4 linked regions of the Nothobranchius furzeri genome follow. The main gene of each other region encodes a partner of the protein of the gene in region 3 in a complex. Links are inferred from orthologs where the notes say so. Each region holds a gene or a part of one and is shown on either strand. Other genes may lie near its edges.

Region 1 (5,595 bases), on a different chromosome or scaffold from region 3:
AAGAATGCACCACCCAAAACCGGATGTTGAAATAATGTATCTACCAAGACAGATTGGAGGCAGAGGACTTACCCAACTTGAGATGGCTTACTAAACAACAACAATGGCATTGAAAACCTACCTTGAAACAACAGACAATGCCCTACTGATCCTCGTTTGTCAACATGAAGCTCGCAAGAAGCTGTACTCTGTTACAAAAGAAGCTATAAGACATGCACAGGAACTAAACATCCCAGATGTGGCAAGAAAAGAGAAAGAAACCATAACAAGCTTTGCCAAGAGGACCAAAAGGGAGGCAAAGAAATGGGCCCAAAAGAGGATGAGAGAAACATGGGAGGAAAAGCCAATGCATGGACAATACCCCTTGAGAGTAAAAAAAAGCAGACGTAGAACAAGATCATATCAGTGGCTACGCAGTGCAGGACTGAAGGCAGAAACTGAAGGATTGTTGATAGCAGCACAAGACCAGAGCCTGTCAACGAGATCATACCACCACAAGATCATGAAAGATGGAACAGACCCAATGGGGGGGGGGGGGGGGGGGGGATCTCTGCTGCTTGCTGCCACAAGGACATAAGAGTGCAGCAAAAACCTCATGTTTGTATGGGGAGGACAAAAGTCTCAAAAGATCTGTATGTGTGTATCTAGATTTGTTTATGTGTATCTAGATTTGTGTGTGTTTATCTACATTTGTGTGTGCGTAACTAAAGATTTTTGTGTGTGTAACTCTTGATTTGTAACTTGTGTTTATATTTTTGTGTGTAAATTCAGTTCTTACACATACAATCATTGAACACACACACACACAAATCACCTGGTACACACGGACAAGTCTACAGGACACACAGATCAGTTTACAAGTACAAAAATTATTAGTCAATTTAGGGTTGGGCATCGAGCATCGATTGGAACGGGGACCAACTGTTAGTTTTTCCCGGAATCGTTCAAATTTTTTTATTTAGATTCCAAGTTTCGATTCCTAGAATGCCGACGGAAGAGGAATCCGCAGCTGATCTCCGTGAAAAATAAACGTGATCTACCAACGCTTTTCAGATCTGATCACACCAGCTTTCTGTGTGCAGTACCGAGTCCCCCCTCCCCCCACCTGGCGCGCAGCGGCCAAATATAAACAAACGTGTCCGCCGAACTTTTACTCCGTAATGTAAACTTTAACTCCTGCAGCGTAGAGGAAACGTGTTAAAATCATCAACACGGTGGATTTAATAGAAGCTTTAAAGAACAAACTCTGGACGGCGTGAGGTGAGTTTGTCTCACTGCAAAAATAAAAACACACACGGAGCGTCAGCAGTCAGACGCAGCCGCTCACCAACACTCGTGTGTGTGCGTGCGCATCAGAAGGCTGAACAATAACCTGTAGAATAAAGTCTTCATGTTAGAGAAGCTTCTCAGTGGTGGACCACACCAGCTTCTGCCACAATAAATACTCATGATAATACTAATAAATCACACACAAAGTTGTGAACATTTTAATTTCCTTTCTGAACTATTTCTGTTGAGTATTTTAATGTTTAAAATCTGTTAGATTAGGAAATCTGGCTCAGCTCCCTCTTCACCACGACAGATCGGCTCACTGCAGACGCCGAACCAATCCGCCTGTCGATCACACACACACACACACACACACACACACACACACACACACACACACACACACACACACACACACACACACACACACACACACACACACACACACACACACACACACACAAGCAGACCTTTCGAGACTTTTTTCTCCCCTCACATTTGTGTCGGCGGAACCTTTATCCATGCTCTCCGTTTCCCCACGGAAGGTGTAACAACGTACCGCAGTTCCGGGCGCATAAATGGAAGTGTAAGGATTTCATTTTTACCTTTCATTTAGTTTATTTTAGCAAGAGACTTTGCTAAGTAGCTGTTGTGAATTGTGTTTTTAACAACAACTATAAGCCGTAGTTTTCAGTTTTTGGTTTATTATTGATGGATGAAAGCGAACAGAGCTAGCGAAACAGCAGAGACACATTTTCAGTTCGGTCTGGGACGAAAAACTGTTCATCCTAGCTTATTAAAATTTAAAAACAAAAAACGAGTCAGTATTAACCATTAAAGCCAAACAACACGGTCCTTTTGTTATGACTGAAGACTTTTTTTCTAAAGTCTTTTTAATTCTTTTAAATGAAACTTTTAGCTGATTTTTATTTATTTATTTTTACTAAACGATTCGTAAATGGTCAGAATAATATTTTACTCTCGACTGCATTTTTATAGGTTTAATTTCTTAACCCACATGGAGACAAAAAACGCATTAATCATCTTAACTGTTCATTCCTCTATATTCCGAGTTGATGGTGGACAGGGGACAGCTCTCTAGTCCATCACAGAGACACATGCACTCACTCACAGGTAGAGACAACTTAGAGTCAACAGTTAACCTGAGATGCATGCGTTTGGTCTGTGGGAGGAAACAGAGTATCCATACAGAGAAAACACGCATGCAGTGGAGAACTCCACAAAGGCTGCAGCTGGAATTCGAACCTGCAACCTTTTCGCTGTGAGGCAGCAGCACCAGCTCCTCCCTTCCATGCAGCTCATAACAACTACATCAATTCAAAACTTTCAACTTTTTGTGTTTTCAGCAAAAATTCAAGTGCTGCAATGCTCAGCAACTATGAGGTAATATAGTCGGTTTACCCTCGCATGACGTGTTATTCACTGTTCAGTCAAACAGATCAGTTTGTAACTTTTACTTTCTTTTTTTTTACTGCTCAGGTGTTCAAACTTCTCATAGATCTGAAGGAACAGAGGAAAGATGGGGGGAAGAGCAAACACAGTGCCGGGCAGCAGAACCTCAACACTATCATGTATGAGGTCAGGTCACATCTCTCTTCCTGCATTTATATAAATGTTTTGGTCATATTTATTACAAACATAATCTCCTGTGGGTTCGCCATCAGACACTTAAGTACCTGTCGAAGACGCCGTCCAGCAGACAAAGTCCTGAGATTGTCAAGGAGTTCCTCACCACCATGATGCCCCACAAACTCACAAAGTCAGTGAGATCTAATAAACATTTTATTTTGATTTAGTTGTGTTGATACGATGGACATTGTCTTAACATTTAGCCTTTTTCTGTTAATCTGATTTGTTTTTGTCATCATCAGGGCAGAAAAACTTCAGCTGTTGAACCACCGACCTCAAACTGCAGTAGAAATTCAGCTAGTGAGTCTCGTTAAATTTGTTAAAATTTGTGCAAAACGCAACCCAACCTACCAGGCTACCAGTAATAACCGGTGAAATCCACAGTAGCTCTGCCTGCCAGCTCTGCAGTTTCTTTAATCTTTGATTGAGAAATATTAAATAGCATTCAGACCTAGACTGAGTAAAAAATAAACACACACTGTGGAAATTAAATGTTTTTGTTGAATCAAGACACCCAAAACAGAATTTAAACTTTAAAAATGTATCGCAACACAAGGAAAATATTATTTTTTTAATTTTAATCACGCTAAGAGTTTGGTGCGTGGCATTTGAACTAGCTGCTATTTTATCCTTTGTTAATTATAAAAAAGTGGTTCTTTTAAAGGTGTGGAACACTTTTAGTGAATATTTCTGATTATAATCGGTCTCTGAGTTTTTCATGCAGGCTGAACATGAAAATAGTCTCCTACGTCTATCTGCTGCATTAGCTTCGGATGGAAAATAGACGGTGAAACTCTAGGATTAGAAAAGCCTGACAGATCTAAGTCACACTGTCACTTAACATTAATGGACTCACTCATCTTGATTCATGACGGAGAAGGCTGTTGTTGGCTTAGCGTCCAGGAAACGGCAGAGAATGTCTCAGCTAGTAGAAGCTAACCATTAGCAACTCCACCACACAGCAAAAGCTCCTCCAGGCTTGTGTTACTTGTGGAGATGATAATCAGTGGTAGAGTCGCATTGCTGTTGTAGTGTATCGATAGTTACATCTCTTACGTAGGAAACCATCAAAGGTGAGATTCCTTAGAAAATATGGAATCAATTTGATGTATCTTTGAATACTACCTTTAATCAGAAGATATGAACTTTTTATTGCAGGGATTAGGTAATAATTTGTAATAACCCAGAGTCAAAGAGAGAGACAAGTTTTAAAGTTTAAGAAGATTTATTTCTAAACAATTTAAAACAAGGCTAACTCTAACTTTAACTCTAAAGCTTGGTTTATGCTTGACGCATTCACTTTCCGCTTGGTGATGCGGCTCGCGGATGGAACGCGCTTCACAACTCGCAGCGTTTATGGTTCGTGCGGCTTGTCTCTGCGGTGAGCCAATATTCTCCCAAACTGAACGGGGCAACATGGAGCTCTACGGCATGCATCTAACACTACACCATAGTAGAAGTAAAAATTACTATTTACAACATGGCATTTCAGCATTTTTAACAGCGTCCTCGTCTTTTCTGACAGTGCGAGCTATTTCTCTCCAAGAATGATTAACAACATGTTGATCACGGTGATCTTTGAGAGCTAAATCATACAAATGTCTGTATTTACGAACCTCTGCCATACTAGTTCTAGCCGGTCCGCCATGTTTTTCCACGTCCGACCGTCCGCGTGGTTAGAAATTTTCCCTAGGTGCGCGTTGCAGAAATTTTGGGCTGTGCGGAGACGCGGTGGAGGGGCGTGGTTGTTAAAATGACGCAATTTTGCCGCGCGGAGCCGTGCAGACCTCGCGGACGCGTCAAGCATAAACCAACCTTAACACTCTGTGTGATGAATGGATCTAGTTGTGAATGAGGCAAGATGGATGGTGTAAATGTGGAATGTTGTTATCAGAACTCTCGTTTCCAGAGAAGCCTTAGTTCTGTGTGGGAGCGAATGCTTGCTCTAAACTATAGTCGAGTTTCAAAAACCACATTCAGACGCTATCTTGCCGAGCTACATACCCTTGCGGAGACCTCCGTTGCAGATCCAGAATGCCAGGTTCTCAGACCCTCTTTGGTACCGAAGCCGGTGAAACAGCGTACGGTACGACAGACTAGTCTTGGAATGCCCCCAGGTAAGCGGCAGTTGGTTGACAGTGTCAGCGGGACCCTGAAGGGTCAGTGAGTTCAGCTTTTACTCTGAAGGAGCATTGCGTCAGGTGGAGCTTGCAACAGGTTTATTATCCAGCTTGTCGTTAGGTTCTTTGTGGTTAAAAATTTACGAGTGGCCGGCTCGCAACTCTAGAGCGTCTGAACTGAGTTAAGGGTGACGTGGGAGTTAGTTTTATAATTCAGATGTTTTAATTTATGGTCGAATCAAAATTGGACACAAATATAAAAACCACACAGATCACGCCACGCACCAGAAAGGAAAGCTCTGATTGGAGAGACAAAGGAATGTGTCATGTGATTAACATTACATGTGATCAGTCTAGTGTGTACAGGGTATCTGCGGGTCCTTAAAAAGTCTTAAAAAGTCTTAAATTAGCTTTTCCTAATTTAAGGCCTTAAAAATCCTTAAAAATTACAAATAATCCTTAAATCCAGTTGCCAAAGGTCTTAAATTACCAAAGACCCAATAAACAAGATTATTTTATTTCTATAAAAACTTTGTAAATTTCTAGTTAGTGTTCA
Region 2 (4,722 bases), about 74 Mb from region 3:
TATATATATATATATATATATATATATATATATATATATTGAATGCATTTTATTTCCTTGTCTACTTAAATATTCTTACCAGCTGATATGTTTTATTCCTCCCTCCCGTTGCTGTTTCAACTCCATAAATCTGCAAATGGCCTTTTTCAGGTCCAGGACTGAAGCGTTTTGGACTACAACTATGGCTTCATTTAAATATAATAAATAAAAAAAAGTAAGTGTGATGAGAATAGTAGATGTCAGGCTATAATTTTCAATCATCTAATAACAAAAAATAGAAAGTTGATAAAAAAGAAATAATAAAACAATGAAAAAGCAACACTTACGCATGATTTCACCATCTGCTTTCACGACCTTCACAGTCATCGCCTGGCCGTACTCCAAAGCTATCTGAGAATTTACTTCTTCCAGTGTGACCTGATGGTACAGAAAAAAAAAACATTAAAATTGACGCCACCGATTACCATTTCTCTGCACACATCAGACCATCATCATCTAGAAAAGCTCACAACCCTGAGAGGACTTGCTGTTAGATTATGAAGATTTATTGCTGGTCTTAAATTTGGAAATACTTTGACAAGTTGAGCAAAATACAGTGAAATATTTTGAATATACTTTATTGACCTAACAAAATGCACAAGGTAGACGTGAGCTAATACTTCTACTGCTGTCCTCTTGTGTAACCAATATTAGGACAGAGTACAAATCACACAGCTTTAACATACAAGCAAGAAGAGACATCAGCAAGGACTTTGGGGAGATAATTTTGTCTTTGCTCTAATAAAAACTGTAATATGCAGTGATCTGCTGTTTTTACTCCATTGGAAGCTTGCAAATTGATTCATAAACACTTTGTAGTGCAAATGGGATCCATTTGAGTTTTAATAGGTATCTAAATAGACTGTTTGGAAATTGCAGGTGAGGTGTGTGTCCAAACTTTTGACTAAAGTAACAAAAGCTGCACAATGTATCACAAAACATCATCACTGTGACTGCTTCAGTGGCACACAAAAACAGCTTGATTCACAGTAGATGGGGACATGTTCATGTGACTGAATCTCCTTAATGCTATTGCTGAAAACACACCAGTGGTGAGTGATGTGTGGTAACAGAGTGAGGAAAATGAGGATTTAGCACAACTGTTATCGTCATCGCAATACCCAACGATATTGTAACAGTGTGATTTACTAAATCCTACAAAAGTATAATCCTGGCCCAAATATCTTCTACAATCGTCATTGGACTTTAAAAATAAAATAGACCAGCTCCAATGAGTGAATCTCAAATAAAGGTGACAACACACGTTTTCCTTCAGAGTAACTGAGGGCACTCAGAAATAACACCTGGATTGGCAGGTCGCAGAGTAAAGGGTCCTGCACAAGTCGAGCAAGTCCTTCTTCAAAAATATCCAGGATCTCAGAGTGAGGGAGAGAATCTTCATCGTCCTCCTCCTCAGCAGCTGCCTCGTTTAGGAAGCTCTCCTTTTTCACCTCCTCATCCTGCACTAGTTGCGCTCCTTCACCTCCTTTGACTACAGCAGAACCTGGACTCTGCTCCTCCTCCATCCGATAATCATCCAGCTATTGGGTACCTTCCGGGTTTCCTGCTAGAAAACGTCGTCTGGATACAATTTACCTGGACAACAATTACAGGTTTACTTCAAAACTGCTGCTAAAAAAGAAGAATTAGAACAGCAAAAGCCCGTATGTAACTGTGTGCAGTACAAACAAACTACCGGAACGGAAATGGACCTTATGTAAAAGGTTCCACTTGATGAAAATAAAAATGAACAGCTGCGTTAACATTTGATAAATACGTATTCTTATCATAAATTAATAACATTCATTTTAATATAGAATTGTTTACATACAATTAGGCATGTTGTTTAAACGATTAGCGACTTCCGGTTGTTTCCGTTCGAGCTGTTTTCATCAGTCGACTTCCGGTTTTCTCTACGCAGCAGATGGTTTCTGGTGAAATCACATTTAGATTCCATTTAGTTGATGGTTTGCGACCAAATTGATTACATTTAAAATGCTACTCTTTTGCCCTACCTGTGGAAACGTTTTGATCGTAGAAGAAGGACAGAAGTGTATGAGGTTCGCGTGTAACACCTGTCCTTACATACACAACATCACAAGAAAGGTAGGAGTCACCCGTAACTAAACCAGGTTTCATCATCTAGTTGGTGTCAGAAACACAAAATATTTGTCGTTAGGTTTGTAAGTTTAAGGTCTTGTTTTATTTCTCTTGAAGGTAAACAACCGAAAGTATCCCAAATTAAAGGAGGTGGATGATGTTCTCGGTGGGGCTGCTGCGTGGGAGAACGTGGATTCAACTGCAGGTAAATAACATTAAAATGACTTCCTGGAGTCTGCATACAAATGTTTAGCATATTCTTTAGTTTTAGTTAAGTAATTAAAGTGTTTTAACGCCTAAAATGAGAAAAGTGTACTTCCAATTTTCAATTATACAAACGGATTAATCCAGGATTTTCAGTTTTTCTTTTTGTTCAAGCCAAACCATTCAACAATCCTGATATCCTGTATCTTTATTTAGGTCATAGTAGAATTGGCTAGATGCTTAATAAACTATTATTTATCTCCTTAAAACAATTCATGATCCTTAAACAGGATTAGTGATTTCTTAAGATTAACATTCTTAAACTAAAACCTGGACATACCAGAGGTATTTGGGGTATAAGATGGTACATACCGGTGTGGCCTCTAAGCTGACATATTCCTTCTCTATCTCTGTACAGAAAAATGTCCCAAGTGTGAGCATCCTCGGGCGTATTTCATGCAGATTCAGACCAGATCTGCTGATGAACCCATGACAACTTTCTACAAATGCTGTAATGCCCAGTGTGGACATCGATGGAGAGACTGAAAGTTTTCTACTTGTAGTTATTTCAAATGTTCAGATGATTTCTGGCCTGGTTTTCCTTTTCTTCTGTATTTATTTGCACCATTTACTTTCCAGTTGTGATAAATGTTCCACATGACAAAGTGTTTACTTCATGATTTTTATTGGTAAAATAGCGCCTGTGTACAGTCACATAAATTGCGTACATAGTTGTACATCAGACATCTGGAGCGATGCAGACCAGCAGTTTTCACAACATGACTAAAGTTCCATTACAATCCTTCACAAAATGTGTTTTTTTGTTTTATATTTTGCACAGATTTTTCAGTCTTGAGGAAAAAAATATGCACAGAGTCGGAGCACATCAATGATTATTACTAAAGGTATAGCCCAGGCAAACTGCGAGAAGCATTAGTGGCTGATGTATCCCACATGCTGAGATGATTCACTGTTAGTGTTCAGAATCACTTTTGCAAAAGGTCTAATTCAACAACTTCATGAAGCTCATTAAAATCTCACTAATCAAATGTATTTCATTTCATCTAAGCGAAGAACCTTCATTTAGGTGAATCCTTAATGGCTTAGTACTCAGTTTTTAAAACCTCTTAAGATCAGCTAAATCTGAAATGGTGCTGCATGAGCCTGACAGAAAAACACACACCAAGATGTCATGCTTTCGTTTTTAAGTGATTAGCTTGTCTATCGCCTTCAGTACACTTGTGGACCATTCCCATCTGTACCGGGTCGGCCCGGGCCGGGTAGCGTAGGTTGTTTACATATCTGGGTGGCCTGGTATTTTTCCGGGCCAACCAAGGCTCATTCTCAGCCCTCTTCTCGAGGGGGTCTGCTTCAGGCCGACCAGGGCCAACACACCCACTGCTGACAGCAACTTCACACCTTCCATTAGAGCAAGCCTCTGATTGGTGGGTAGAATCAGCCCACATGGGCTTAAGGCAAGGATGTGTGGAATCAACCGGGCCAGGCTGGGGCCGACTGGGGCTACCCGACCCGGCACAGATGGGAATGGCCCAAAAGTCTGAATATGGCTCATAACTCGGTCGACTACAGAAACTAGTAACACCTGGATAAAACTTTGCTTTTATTCAGGGTAAAATCGTGTTTTAATGAAAACAAAATGTGTGTTTAAACTTATAAAGTGCAAATATTAACTTTATTCTCAAAACTACAGACGGGGACAAAGGTAACAGCTAAACAGTGAATCAGAACATGTTGATTGGAGTAATGAATACAAGTAACTAAAGCATAAAACATAAATGTATTTGTTTAAATGGACGGTTTTCACATTACACCAACGATAATGATAAACAAGAAACAACTAGGTAGGTAAGAACAAAAAAACAGTGAGAGACAAAATGTTAACATTTCTCAACAAACTTGTTAAAGGATAAAACATCTAAGATGAAAGTCTCAAAACAAACAAACATCTTAACCCAACATTCTTCATACACTGACCAAGATTCATAGATGAATTCAAATAAAGTGACAATTTTCACAGTTTTTGTTTACTTATTTTTTCATTTACATGCATAACTTCACAAGAAGGGCTGCAGGGTGTGTGTGTGTGTGTGTGTGTATCTGCAGCCCATCAGTGTCTAGTTCTTGTAGTGCCCTTTAGCTCAAACATTTGGACATTTTCAATTTTGTACATCAGAGAAGTATATAGAAGTATATATACACAGGTATTTTACTGGGAGCTTAGGGGGGATAAAAACTGCACTTGCATCATAAGAGGGCCACACAACACTGCAAAAATGGAAGGCAGGGAGGGAGGAGCTGCTGTTACTACCAGCAGGGAAAGCTGTGAGTGTGTGTGTGTGTACATGGCTCTGTGGCAAA
Region 3 (5,653 bases):
CAGAAGCTGCTCGTTTATTATTGTATTATCATTCATTTTAATTCATTGGTGTGAGAATTTACACATAAAATAACAGAATTCAAGCTGTTGGACCCCTTTCCTGTCACCGTTTACACCCCAAGATCCAAATCTTCATCCGTTTCTGTTCTTCTCTTTAAACATTGGATTTTCTTCCATAAGCATTTATTCATTAGACTGGATGAGAAAATAACTATTGTCATATTTGATTTGCGATGTGGTTGTAAATTTTAACATGAGTTCAATTTATTTAAACCAACAAACAAAATAATATTTTTCATTTAAGACAGAAAAAATAATCAGCAACTGAAGTTGAGATTAACTTGTGTGAATATTCCTTAAAACAAGTGTGATGCATTTTTCTGAAGCTGAACAAGGTTAGTGTTTACACACTTCTATAAAATTACATTAAATCTTGTTAAAACTAGTATCTTCTACCAAGTATTCATTAGGGCTAGTGTGTAGGTCACAAAGTGCACCTAGTGCTGCTTTGACTTCACAAATGAAACTAAACATTAAGTCCATGAAAAATCCCCGAACTCGTCATTCCAACAGTATATTTGACCAGAAACAAACACTGAAAACAAAACTAGTCCACTGTCTCTCAGCTGAGTTTTAAATATGTCGTCTTGGCTTTAATGGTCCAGACAATCCGTGTTCAGGTCTTGTTCGGTGGAAAATACGCTCACAACACATTCACAGTGGGAAACCTGAAGCTTCGGGCCCTGAGTTTTGACACAATTACGCGTAGACACACGAATAGAACAAAACTTGACAGTGTCAAGTTTATAACCCAGCGTTTACCTCAAGTAAAAACAAATTAGGCACCGTTTAATTCAGAGAGTTAACAGCAACAACCGTTGCTAGCTGTTAACAAGCTAGCGGCGGTTTAGCTGTAGCAGACAGGCGAAACTAACTGCTATTGGTCGAGCAGCGGTGTTGTCAGTCGCGCACGATGTGGAATATATCACACATGACTAACCAAAAACACCGGACTTACCGGGAGTTTAGGATTTACTTCTCCCTTACAACAGTGACAGAAAAACCGATGCGGGGGAACAGGCGCGGCCTCCGCCATCTTCCCCAAGCAGCACAACTAGTGACGTTGGTCCTTTACAACCAAAAGACACTTTATGGCAAGCCGGTTCATCATATAATAAGTGATAATTCTGATATTTATCATATGCATTTTCATATCCTCCAAAATGATTATAAGTTGTTTTAAAACGTTTAATAATAAAAACGTCTTTATGATAGCAGTAAATCATATGAAAATTTAAAATATTTCAGAGTTACCACGGTATTCAAGACCTTGAAATCTGCACATTGTTCTCTAGTGGGAATTCCAGTTTTGAGAAACAAATTATTATTCTAACAAAAGTTGTTCGACAGCAAAGTACGTTTAGATTTTTTAAACCGGAAACTAAATTTCTATGGGAATTTGTTTGTCCTAACATTTGGGAAAGGTATTTGAGATTCTTGAAATGTTGATTTTGAATAGGTGAAATATACCTTTTGAAATACATGGAAGGAACTGCAGATGTTTACTGATGAATACTGACTTCACCCAGTGTGATTGTGTACCTCTTACTTTTTGTCTAACTTATTAACACGTCGAGCGCTTGAAATTTCAGTTGTTTATTCTGATAACTAAAAATGCAATTCATGAACAAATTTTTTTTTATTTAAATTCCAAATGAAAAAAATGGGATGTGGTTAATTATATGCTACAACAACTTGCCTGAACCAAACGATCTCCAGCTCGACAGGGGGCGCTGCACTGCAGCCAAATCCTGGAGGGAAGACCCAGAGAGCGGAAGTGTCTTTTTTACCGGAAGTGTCTGTGTGTTGTGATGGAAGAGACGCATGTGTAAAAAGTCGATGCATGAAGGCAACAGCTACGTTTGCTCCGAAACCCATCTGCAATAAAAGGTTCGTGAAAAAAATAAGTTACGTGTATTTATTTTTCCTAATTCTTTACTTTCAGGTGAGCTAGCCGCTAGTAGCTTGTAAGCTAATCCACTTAATACAACTTTAGCTTCACTGGTGTGGACATTAATCAGAGACGCTTAAAACATAATTAACATTTAATATTAGATGAAGTTTACATGTTGTCTTTTGTTTTATGGTGCTTTAGTGTTTTTTTAACCGAAACATCACAGTTTAAAGATGCTAGTGATTGATTTGTGATGCTTTAAGTGTACTAGTGTTTTAGTGTCCTGTCAAAAAAGTAAATATAATTTATAAAATACAATAAAATGACTTTATTCTTGCAATAGGTTAATTTCTGTTAAGATGTTGATAATAAATCATACTAATTTACCTATTTAAGCCAACCACATACACAATATTCAGTACTTTCCTCACAACTTGGTACAGTCATTTTGTCATTTAATTAGTTTGTTTATTTTGATCAACTGTTGGTTCATATTACACTGATTATTTTGTTTTCAATCTGTTTCATGAAAAGCATCTTTTATAAAATGTTCTGCTAATCTGGTGCTGCTTCCGTGGGTTTTATTATCGTGATATAGGTGATGTCATCTAATTTACTGTTTTGCTTCATCTACAATAAAATACAGGAATTCTTCTACAAAACCTGTAACATAAATAAAACCAGTTTACTTCCATCCATCCATTTTCATCCGCTTATCTGGAGTCGGGTGGCTGGGGCTGTAGCCTAAGTCGAGAGGTCCAAACTTCCCTCTCCCCAGCCACTTGGGCCAGCTCCTCCGGGGGAATCCCAAGGCGTTCCCTGGCCAGGTGAGAGACATAGTCCCTCCACCGTGTCCTGGGTCTACCTTTAGGCCTCCTCCCAGTTGGACGTGCCCGGGAAACCTCACCAGGGAGGCGTCCAGGAGGCATCCTGACCAGATGCCCAAGCCACCTCAACTGGCTCCTCTCGATGTGGAGGAACAGCGGGTCTACTCCGAGCCCCTCCCGGATGACCGAGCTTCTCACCCTATCTCTAAGGGAGAGCCCAGCCACTCTTTGGAGAAAACTCATTTCGGCCGCTTGTATCCGTGATCTCGTTCTTTCGGTCACTACCCAAAGCTCATGACCATAGGTGAGGGTAGGAACGTAGATCGACCGGTAAATCGAGAACTTCGCCTTCCGACTCAGCTCTCTCTTCACCACGACAGACCGGTACAACGCCCGCATCACTGCAGACGCAGCACCAATCTGCCTATCGATCTCACGCTCCAGCTTTCCCTCACTCGTGAACAAGACCCCGAGATACTTAAATTCCTCCACTTGGGGCAGGACCTCATCCCTGACCCGTTTACTTGTGGATCTTATTTATATTGTATGTTTTTGCAGATGACAGCCCAGGAGGTACGACTGTGTGGTCTTCTGATGCGAGAGCATTTCGGGGAGGTGGTGGAGAAAGTGGGAACACACCTGCTCAGAAGTGGTGGCCAACATTTACGAGCCATTGTTCATGAAACTGGAGTCTCAGCGGACCTGGTACAAATGACAAGCTTCTTTCTGCTGGTTAATACTGAGAATATATTTGCTTAGCAGCTAATTGTTGGTGGTGATGTATTTTAGATAAGTAGAGTTGATTTATTGGACAGTTTTACACTATAAATGATTTTTAATCACACAGTACAGATGCTGCTTTTGCCTTTGTTTTTAAAGGTAAAGAAGTCTTTATGCGTGCTTATGCATCACGGAGCGTGTTCGTTCATCTCTGGTCGAAAGGGACCCGGCAGCCCCCCAGAGTATCAGGCAAGCTGCGATTGCATTCTGAGGATTCTGCGATACCCACGTTACATCTACACCTCTAAAACCTTGTACGGTGACACCGGAGAGCTGATCGTTGAGGAGCTGCTTCAGAGGGGTCACATGACGATGAGCGGCACGGTCAAGACAGTCGCTGACCGCCTCAGTCAGAACATGGAGGGTCAGCGTCTGATTTTAAAAAGACAAAAATCTGGATTTGATTTTGAATGTTTTTCAGGTTTCAGTAGGATTTATATTACGTGACATCAAGTGTCTATGTTGTTCTTACAGATGGGCAGAGCGTTGATTACAGCGAAGTGTCGTCTGTCTTTTCTAAACTGGTGGAGACGCATTTCCTGCAGCGCTGCCCTCCGTTGGACGGAGCAGGAATGACAGCCAGCAGCACTCAAGCCGGCCCCAATCCCACTGCAGCCGCCTCCAGCTCCACCCTGCCCAACCCAGAGAGCTTCTCCGAGTGCTATAAGGTGCCTCATGTGACCCTCGTCGGGCGGGGAAAGCGCCAGCTCGCCACCGAGGAGGGAGAAGAGCAAAGGAGCGCAAAAAGAGCCAAAATGGAGCCAGAAGTCGGGAACAACTCTCTTTTTTCACCTATTTATTCATTCCAACATTTCTCTGTTTCTGCTTTTATCATCATCACACACGGTTGGTGTTTTTGTGCAGACTCATGGTGACGAGGGGATCTACTGGCAGGTGAACTTTACGCGGTTTCATCAGCACTTCAGAGACCAGGTGATCATCAGTGCCGTGGCCAGTAAACTGGATCAGGTCAGGCTTCCTCTTCAGGACTAAAAATACGAGTGAATAAAAAAAAAAAAAGAGTTGAACGTGCCTACAAAACGCTTATTCATTCTCCTGGATGACTAAAATGTTTTATGTTGTTTCTGTGTGTTTAGAGAGAACTGTCAGTCATCAAAACTGGATAAAAAAAATCAATAATCAACAGTAAACGGGCTCCAGCCCTAAAAAACAATATTTTTATGAATGAAACCAAATCTCACTAATACATGCATTAGTGAGATTAATTATAGTTGTAGCTGTATTTATGTTCTCTTGGTCACTATTGTGTTTCAGGTGTTTGATGAAGCACTTTTTAAAGCTTTTGCATTTAAAAGGTCGTCGTCTTCCTCCGCTTATCCGGGTCCGGGTCGCGGGGGCAGCATCCCAACTAGGGCGCTCCAGACCGTCCTCTCCCCGGCCACCTCCACCAGCTCCTCCGGCAGGACCCCAAGGCGTTCCCGGACCAGATTGGAGATGTAACCTCACCAACGTGTCCTGGGTCGACCCGGAGGCCTCCTGCCGGCAGGACATGCCCAAAACACCTCCCCAGGGAGGCGTCCAGGAGGCATCCTGACCAGATGCCCAAACCGCCTCAACTGACTCCTTTCGATCCGGAGGAGCAGCGGTTCTACTCCGAGTCCCTCCCGAATGTCCGAGCTCCTCACCTTATCTCTAAGGCTGAGCCCGGCCACCCTACGGAGGAAACTCATTTGGGCCGCTTGTATCCGCGATCTCGTTCTTTCGGTCATTACCCAAAGCTCATGACCATAGGTGAGGATTGGGACGTAGATCGACCGGTAAATCGAGAGCCTGGCTTTCTGACTCAGCTCCCTCTTCACCACGACAGATCGGCTCAGCGTCCGCATCACTGCAGACGCCGAACCAATCCGCCTGTCGATCTCCCGATCCCTCCTACCCTCACTCGTGAACAAGACCCCGAGATACTTAAACTCCTCCACTTGAGGTAGGACCTCTCCCCCGACCCAGAGGTGGCAAGCCACCCTTTTCCGGTCAAGAACCATGATCTCAGATTTGGAGGTGCTGATCCTCATCCCAGCCGCTTCACACTCGGCCGCGAACCTACCCAGCAAGAGCTGAAGGTCAGAGCTGG
Region 4 (5,533 bases), on a different chromosome or scaffold from region 3:
AGTTCAGTTCACCCCAAAGGAGTAGGTGAAGACGACGAGAGAGAGAGAGAGAGAGAGAGAGAGAGAGAGAGAGAGAGAGAGAGAGAGAGAGAGAGAGAGAGAGAGAGAGAGAGAGAGAGAGAGAGAGAGAGAGAGAGAGAGAGAGAGAGAGAGAGAGAGAGAGAGAGAGAGAGAGAGAGAGAGAGAGAGAGAGAGAGAGAGATCCTTCAGGCCGGTTTAAAGTCAGGCACATCCACGGATACCCAAAGTTCAGTCTCGGGGATGAGAGGTTTGTTGCTATGATGCTGCTGCTAAGCCAAGATCATTAAAAGGCTTCATTTAGTTTAACTTAAAGAGCAAGTCACCCCCTACCAGAGTCTAACTCCACTCCCACTTCCTGTTTGAAAAATGCAACAAATGCTGTTGCCTAGCAGACCGAGAGGGCGGAGCCGCTAACTAATACACACACACACAGGCTCACAACAACATTGTGACATCATATGGTACCAGCTAGTGATGTGTCGGTCGCGAACGAACCGGCCCTAAGAGCCGGCTCATCATTGGGAGCCGTGCCCCCCCCCCCCCCTTCCCTCTTGCTTTGGTGAAAGCTACAGGCGATTGGTCAGCATGTGTAACTGTGTGTCCAGACTGTCCACACACAGAGCAGTAGGGGCGGGGAAGAGGGAGGATCAGACTCAGACACACAGCAGAGCACATGCAGGTGGAGGGAGACGAGAGGGAATGAGGAGGAGGAAAAAGGTGAGAGAGAGAGAGAGAGAGAGAGAGACAGAGAGAGAGAGACAGAGACAGAGACAGAGAGAGAGAGAGAGAGAGACAGAGACAGAGACAGAGAGAGAGAGAGAGAGAGGGGAGAGCGCGACGAAGACGGTGAGAAAATGAGCGCCAGCAGTCGGAAAGTGGAGATTTCTTAAAGTGTTCAGTTATTAAATCCATAGAAATGATAAATATTTGATATATTGCTTTTTTTACATTAGTAAATTATTTTACATATAGTTTATCATCATTTTGGTTATAAATGTACTCCACGCAACAGAAAATCTGAGGAGCCACTTGGGAGCCGAAAGAGCCGGCTCTTTTTGGTGAGCTGAGCCAAAAGAACCGGCTCTCTAAAAAGAGCTGGAACTTCCATCACTAGTACCAGCTGAGGGTACCTCTTAGCCAATAGCGATGGCAGGTTTAAATTCAAATGCAGTGAAGAGTTTTTACCTGACAACGGTACTACACTGACAGTTTTAGGCAGAAAATTTAAATTTGAACTAAAATGCACTAAAGTGCAAAACTATTGACTACACGTGTCTGCAGCACGATTAGGCATGCATTTATATAGTTTATCAGCAAATAAAGCTGATTTGGGGGTGACTTGCTCTTTAAGAATTATTGGTAAAAATCAAAAACAAAAGACAGGATGCATTTTAGATGTTGCTTTTGTGTTTTCAGCTCTTTTGTATTTTTACTCCAAATTTGAATTTATTTAATTTAAATCTGCTAAATAAATCCTCTAAAACATTAATGTAACTAACATTTTTTATTCACCTGTTTTCCTTATTTAATTCCTAATTAATTTGGTGACTTGTTTGAATAACTTTGATTAAATATTTGATTTTATTGCAGTTTAGTACAAAAATAAGACTCAACAGGGTCAGGAATGTTGAGCATCAGCTGCGCTTTAGCAGGCAGGTGGGAAAAAAATTAAAATCAAGATGTTGGCAACAGAAAAACCCACATTGGATGATTTCCACTGCAGAAGTCATCCATATTTGTGGACAAGTTCAGGCTGTTGCTGAGGTGAACACCCATTTTTGTGCTCCTCTGCTGTTTTAGTGCACGCGTGTGTGTGTGTGTGTGTGTGTGTGTGTGTGTGTGTGTGTACCTTGCTCTGGAGGAATTTGAAGCACTGCTGGTTCAGAACTTCCACAAACTCTGACTCAAAGTCCTGGTCACTGTACCAGGCCCCACCTGTTACTGAGCGGTCTGGCTGCAGGTTGTACAGCATGTAAACCTTCTTCTTTGATGCCTACACACACACACACACACACACACACACACACACACACACACACACACACACACACACACACACACACACACACACACACACACACACACACACACACACACACACACTTTGATCACTAGTTAGAAAGCAATGCTCTGGTTTATGAACCGGCTACGTTTTTGTTCCGACAGCACTCACCGCCACAGACTTGACAGCTTTTATGAGTTTTTTGCTCTCGAGGTTCTTCAGGATCTTGTTGATCTCGGTCAGAGGGAGGTTGCTCTTAAAGCGGATGTCTCTGCTCCAGATTCCTGCAGCCACATTACACAGCCGTGATGTTCTAATCCGTTAGTGGTGAGCTGCATGTTTCTAGACATAAATAGGTTGGTACCTTTGTTTCCTGCATCTTCAATCACCTGATAGACCAGCTTCTCCTGGCTGTCTGAGCCTTTCATCTTACTGAAGCACAGAAAGGCGTTTCAGAGAGGCAGAACCAAACCACACAGGGGCCAGCGAGCAGATCTCAGGTCTTACCTGGACATCTGAGAGTCCTTTAGTCTGTACAGGAGACCTGAACTGTTCCTGAGAAGGTCCAGGTGACCCTATAATAGAATAGAACACCAGTTCAGATCATCCATCAGCATCACAGAGACCGACATGGGTCAGGTCCTCGAACCCACCAGGGCCAGCAGCTTGTTAATGGCCATGGCTCTCTGCTGAGGCTCCAGGTGAGGCATGTCGTTCTGGATCACCTGGTCTGTGATACCTTGAGGAAACTGCTGACACAGATCTTTGATCCTGGGTCACAGAAACAAGTTTAAACACATCAGAACGTCTTTTCACGTATGATTAACTTTTGTTTTTAAAGCAGTTTTCGCTTCAATCAGCTGCCTCCAATTCTCCTCTTATTTGCAACAAACTTATGTTTTATTTAACATGTATGAAAGCAATGCCTCTGTCCGTGTGCAAGACAGCAAACAGGTGTAACAGAACGATGGTGCAAATCTGGCAGCCACGTTGAAGACATGAAGTCTACTTTGGGACTTTCTTTTGACAAATAAACGAGTGAAGTGAATGCCGAAGTCTGAGTGAGCCTGTTCCCGTCCCGAAAACGGGTCCAAACTCAACTTGTCACCGATATGTGAGAGATTGTGGATGAGAAACGTTCAAATCGACCGAATGGACACAGAATCCGGTCCGTTCCAACCTGCTCTCCACCTCCGCGGGTTCCGTCTGGTTCATCTCCTTCTTCACCTTCACCTCCGCCATTCTGAACCGGTCGTGTGGCTCGTGTCCGAGCAGCGGCTCCGTTAAGGCGGTGATTCTGGTCCGCCACAATCAATCTCAGAGCAGGCGGTATCAAGATTGCCCTGGAGGGGTCCTTACAGATGTTTACCCAGCGGTAGGTGTCCGGAAAACTGCCCGTTCAAAAATAAATTAATTGAGATTCAGTTGAGCGGTTAAGTGAAAGACAAAAAAAATCTTATTTTAATCCTCAAAATTACTTCTCATTTTTTAATGTTTTTCAATTGAACCCACTTTTTATATTATTTTTACAATTTAAATAAAACGAGTTACTGAAACACCAGTGCCTACATTCAAATAAATCCAAGCGGAGAAAATTTCTCTAAACATTCATGAGATGCTAGTCCTGTCATTTCTAGGAACTTCTAAAGAGTGAACTTGTAGAAAGTTTCGCGGCAGCCCCGAGGGGCAGGCACTTGTGCTTACTCGTTCGTCTCAGACAGACTCTGTTGCCATGGTGACGTTGTATAAACGCTGCAGTTCTCAGAAGTGTCTCATCTCCCAGCCAGCTCGATGCGTCTGTATTCTTGAGCTCATAACCGTAAAAACGGTTCCGCTACACAACAAGAACTGTGCGGTACGGGAGCGGTAAACCGGTAGCCAGCGGAGGGCGCTGTCTAATGGCTGACAGCTGATTAATATCAGTGTTGAGACGTTATAACCTCTTATTTAGTACATTAGATTGCTATCCTGTTTTTTCAGATATCATCACGTCTCAGTGAGTTGTGACGGTCTAGCTGGACGTTTGTGAGCAGCACTTTTAAAACAAGGACTCAAAAAACTCAAGTTTTCTTTTCTGCTTTAACTGAAGAAGAAGAAACCCTGATCTCCTGATTTGTTGATATCCGTTACCATGGCAGCAGGAGCTGTTTTACCTCCACTTATCATTCCCATCATCTACCTGCCAACTCATCGAGCCAAGAAGCACATCGATACCACAACACCTGTCTCCATCCAGTCAGGTACCCCCCCCCCCCCCCCCCCCCACACACACACACACACACACACACACACACCACACACTTCTGTCCTCCATTCATCTATCTATCCATCCATTCATATTCTTTTGTTAATTTCACAACACACACACACAGCATGGATCTAGCTGGTTCCAGCTTTTTCTAGCAAGCTCTATCCGGTTCTAGCTGGATACAGGACGGATCTTCTGTGTTGCAGCAGATCTGAAGAAACTTCTGACTGAAGATACTTTGTGGTTGAATTATTGTCTTGCGACGAGGCTGATCGGGGTTTCTGCTAAATTTGCCACCTTGCAGCGCTGATCTAAACAACAGTTTGTGCGTGCAGACTCTGCAGGTGTGCTGATCTTCTATACGTTGGATGGGTCGAAGCCAGAGCTGGGGCAGAGAGGGGCAGCTGGCAGCAGCAGGAAGTACACAGAGCCCATCCTGCTACCTGCTGGTCGGGTGTCTGTCAAAGCTGTGGCTGTCACCAGGTAAACACTCACCTGATAACGAGTGACAGGAATAAAAGTAGCACTGCATCACTTCCTGTTTATCAGACCATAACTGTGTTTGATACAGTGATGGCAGACAGAGCTCTGTGGTGACCAAGGTCTTCTCAGTGGTTCAACTGGATTCAGGCAGCACTGTGGAGAACCAGAATAGTCTGCAGAACCACTTGAAGGTAAACACTCACCCGCTGCTCTGCATATTCCATAAACCCGTCCTCTATTTGTATGAAACTATCTGCCCTTGCTCATTCCTTCATTGTTCTGTTACTTCAGCCTGATGGAACTTGTGATTCTGCTGAGAAATCACTTGGTTCTCCACAAAGATCTGTAGGTAAGTACGAAAAGGTCCACTAGTACACACCTGCACCCAAACCAGGTTTAATCCATCCATCCATCCTAGTCTAATTTATTATTCATTCATTTTCTGAACTTCTTGCATCTGAGTGGAGTCTTGGGGACACACGGAGACAGATACCCAGCCACACGCTCACTCACACCTACGGTACAGGCCAAAGCTTTGGACACACCTTCTCATTCAATGTGTTTTCTTTATTTTCATGATCATTTACATAGATTCTGACTGAAGGCATCAAAACTATGATTGAACACATGTGGAGTCATGCACTTACCAAAAAAGGTGAAATAACTGAAAACATGTTTTGTGCGCTAATTTCTTAAAAAGGCCACCCTTTGCTCTGATCACCGCCATGGACGTGATTTTGGGGGGGGACAGGGGGGACATGTCCCCCCCACTTTTTCCA

The links. Proteins that work in one complex are often made in the same cells at the same time.
Region 1: polr3c (region 3) and crcp share a complex: the UniProt entries of both Homo sapiens proteins name them as parts of the RNA polymerase III complex. The link is inferred for Nothobranchius furzeri from reciprocal best matches to the Homo sapiens genes POLR3C and CRCP.
Region 2: polr3c (region 3) and polr3k share a complex: the UniProt entries of both Homo sapiens proteins name them as parts of the RNA polymerase III complex. The link is inferred for Nothobranchius furzeri from reciprocal best matches to the Homo sapiens genes POLR3C and POLR3K.
Region 4: polr3c (region 3) and polr3f share a complex: the UniProt entries of both Homo sapiens proteins name them as parts of the RNA polymerase III complex. The link is inferred for Nothobranchius furzeri from reciprocal best matches to the Homo sapiens genes POLR3C and POLR3F.

Annotation. Positions count from the first base shown.
Region 1 is NC_091750.1:56,808,931-56,814,525, reverse strand, and holds the start of crcp (DNA-directed RNA polymerase III subunit RPC9), read left to right. Parts: upstream 1-1,732; 5' UTR 1,733-1,847; coding exon 1,848-1,855; intron 1,856-2,636; coding exon 2,637-2,673; intron 2,674-2,769; coding exon 2,770-2,868; intron 2,869-2,954; coding exon 2,955-3,049; intron 3,050-3,161; coding exon 3,162-3,219; intron 3,220-5,595. UniProt on the Homo sapiens protein: DNA-dependent RNA polymerase catalyzes the transcription of DNA into RNA using the four ribonucleoside triphosphates as substrates.
Region 2 is NC_091745.1:3,875,624-3,880,345, reverse strand, and holds polr3k (DNA-directed RNA polymerase III subunit RPC10), read left to right. Parts: upstream 1-1,891; 5' UTR 1,892-2,034; coding exon 2,035-2,145; intron 2,146-2,256; coding exon 2,257-2,344; intron 2,345-2,761; coding exon 2,762-2,889; 3' UTR 2,890-3,159; downstream 3,160-4,722. Other genes in the region: snrnp25 (U11/U12 small nuclear ribonucleoprotein 25 kDa protein), read right to left, coding at 80-185, 327-417, 1,344-1,565. UniProt on the Homo sapiens protein: Core component of RNA polymerase III (Pol III) which synthesizes small non-coding RNAs using the four ribonucleoside triphosphates as substrates. Can mediate Pol I proofreading of the nascent RNA transcript.
Region 3 is NC_091745.1:77,810,025-77,815,677, reverse strand, and holds the start of polr3c (DNA-directed RNA polymerase III subunit RPC3), read left to right. Parts: upstream 1-1,822; 5' UTR 1,823-1,950; intron 1,951-3,339; coding exon 3,340-3,486; intron 3,487-3,660; coding exon 3,661-3,925; intron 3,926-4,035; coding exon 4,036-4,328; intron 4,329-4,425; coding exon 4,426-4,530; intron 4,531-5,653. Other genes in the region: rnf115a (E3 ubiquitin-protein ligase RNF115), read right to left, coding at 1,019-1,096. UniProt on the Homo sapiens protein: DNA-dependent RNA polymerase catalyzes the transcription of DNA into RNA using the four ribonucleoside triphosphates as substrates.
Region 4 is NC_091746.1:29,574,601-29,580,133, forward strand, and holds the start of polr3f (DNA-directed RNA polymerase III subunit RPC6), read right to left. Parts: upstream 3,864-5,533; 5' UTR 3,728-3,863; intron 3,415-3,727; 5' UTR 3,266-3,414; coding exon 3,204-3,265; intron 2,795-3,203; coding exon 2,677-2,794; intron 2,599-2,676; coding exon 2,531-2,598; intron 2,456-2,530; coding exon 2,388-2,455; intron 2,308-2,387; coding exon 2,195-2,307; intron 2,015-2,194; coding exon 1,871-2,014; intron 1-1,870. Other genes in the region: dzank1 (double zinc ribbon and ankyrin repeat-containing protein 1), read left to right, coding at 4,155-4,263, 4,607-4,754, 4,843-4,945, 5,046-5,103. UniProt on the Homo sapiens protein: DNA-dependent RNA polymerase catalyzes the transcription of DNA into RNA using the four ribonucleoside triphosphates as substrates.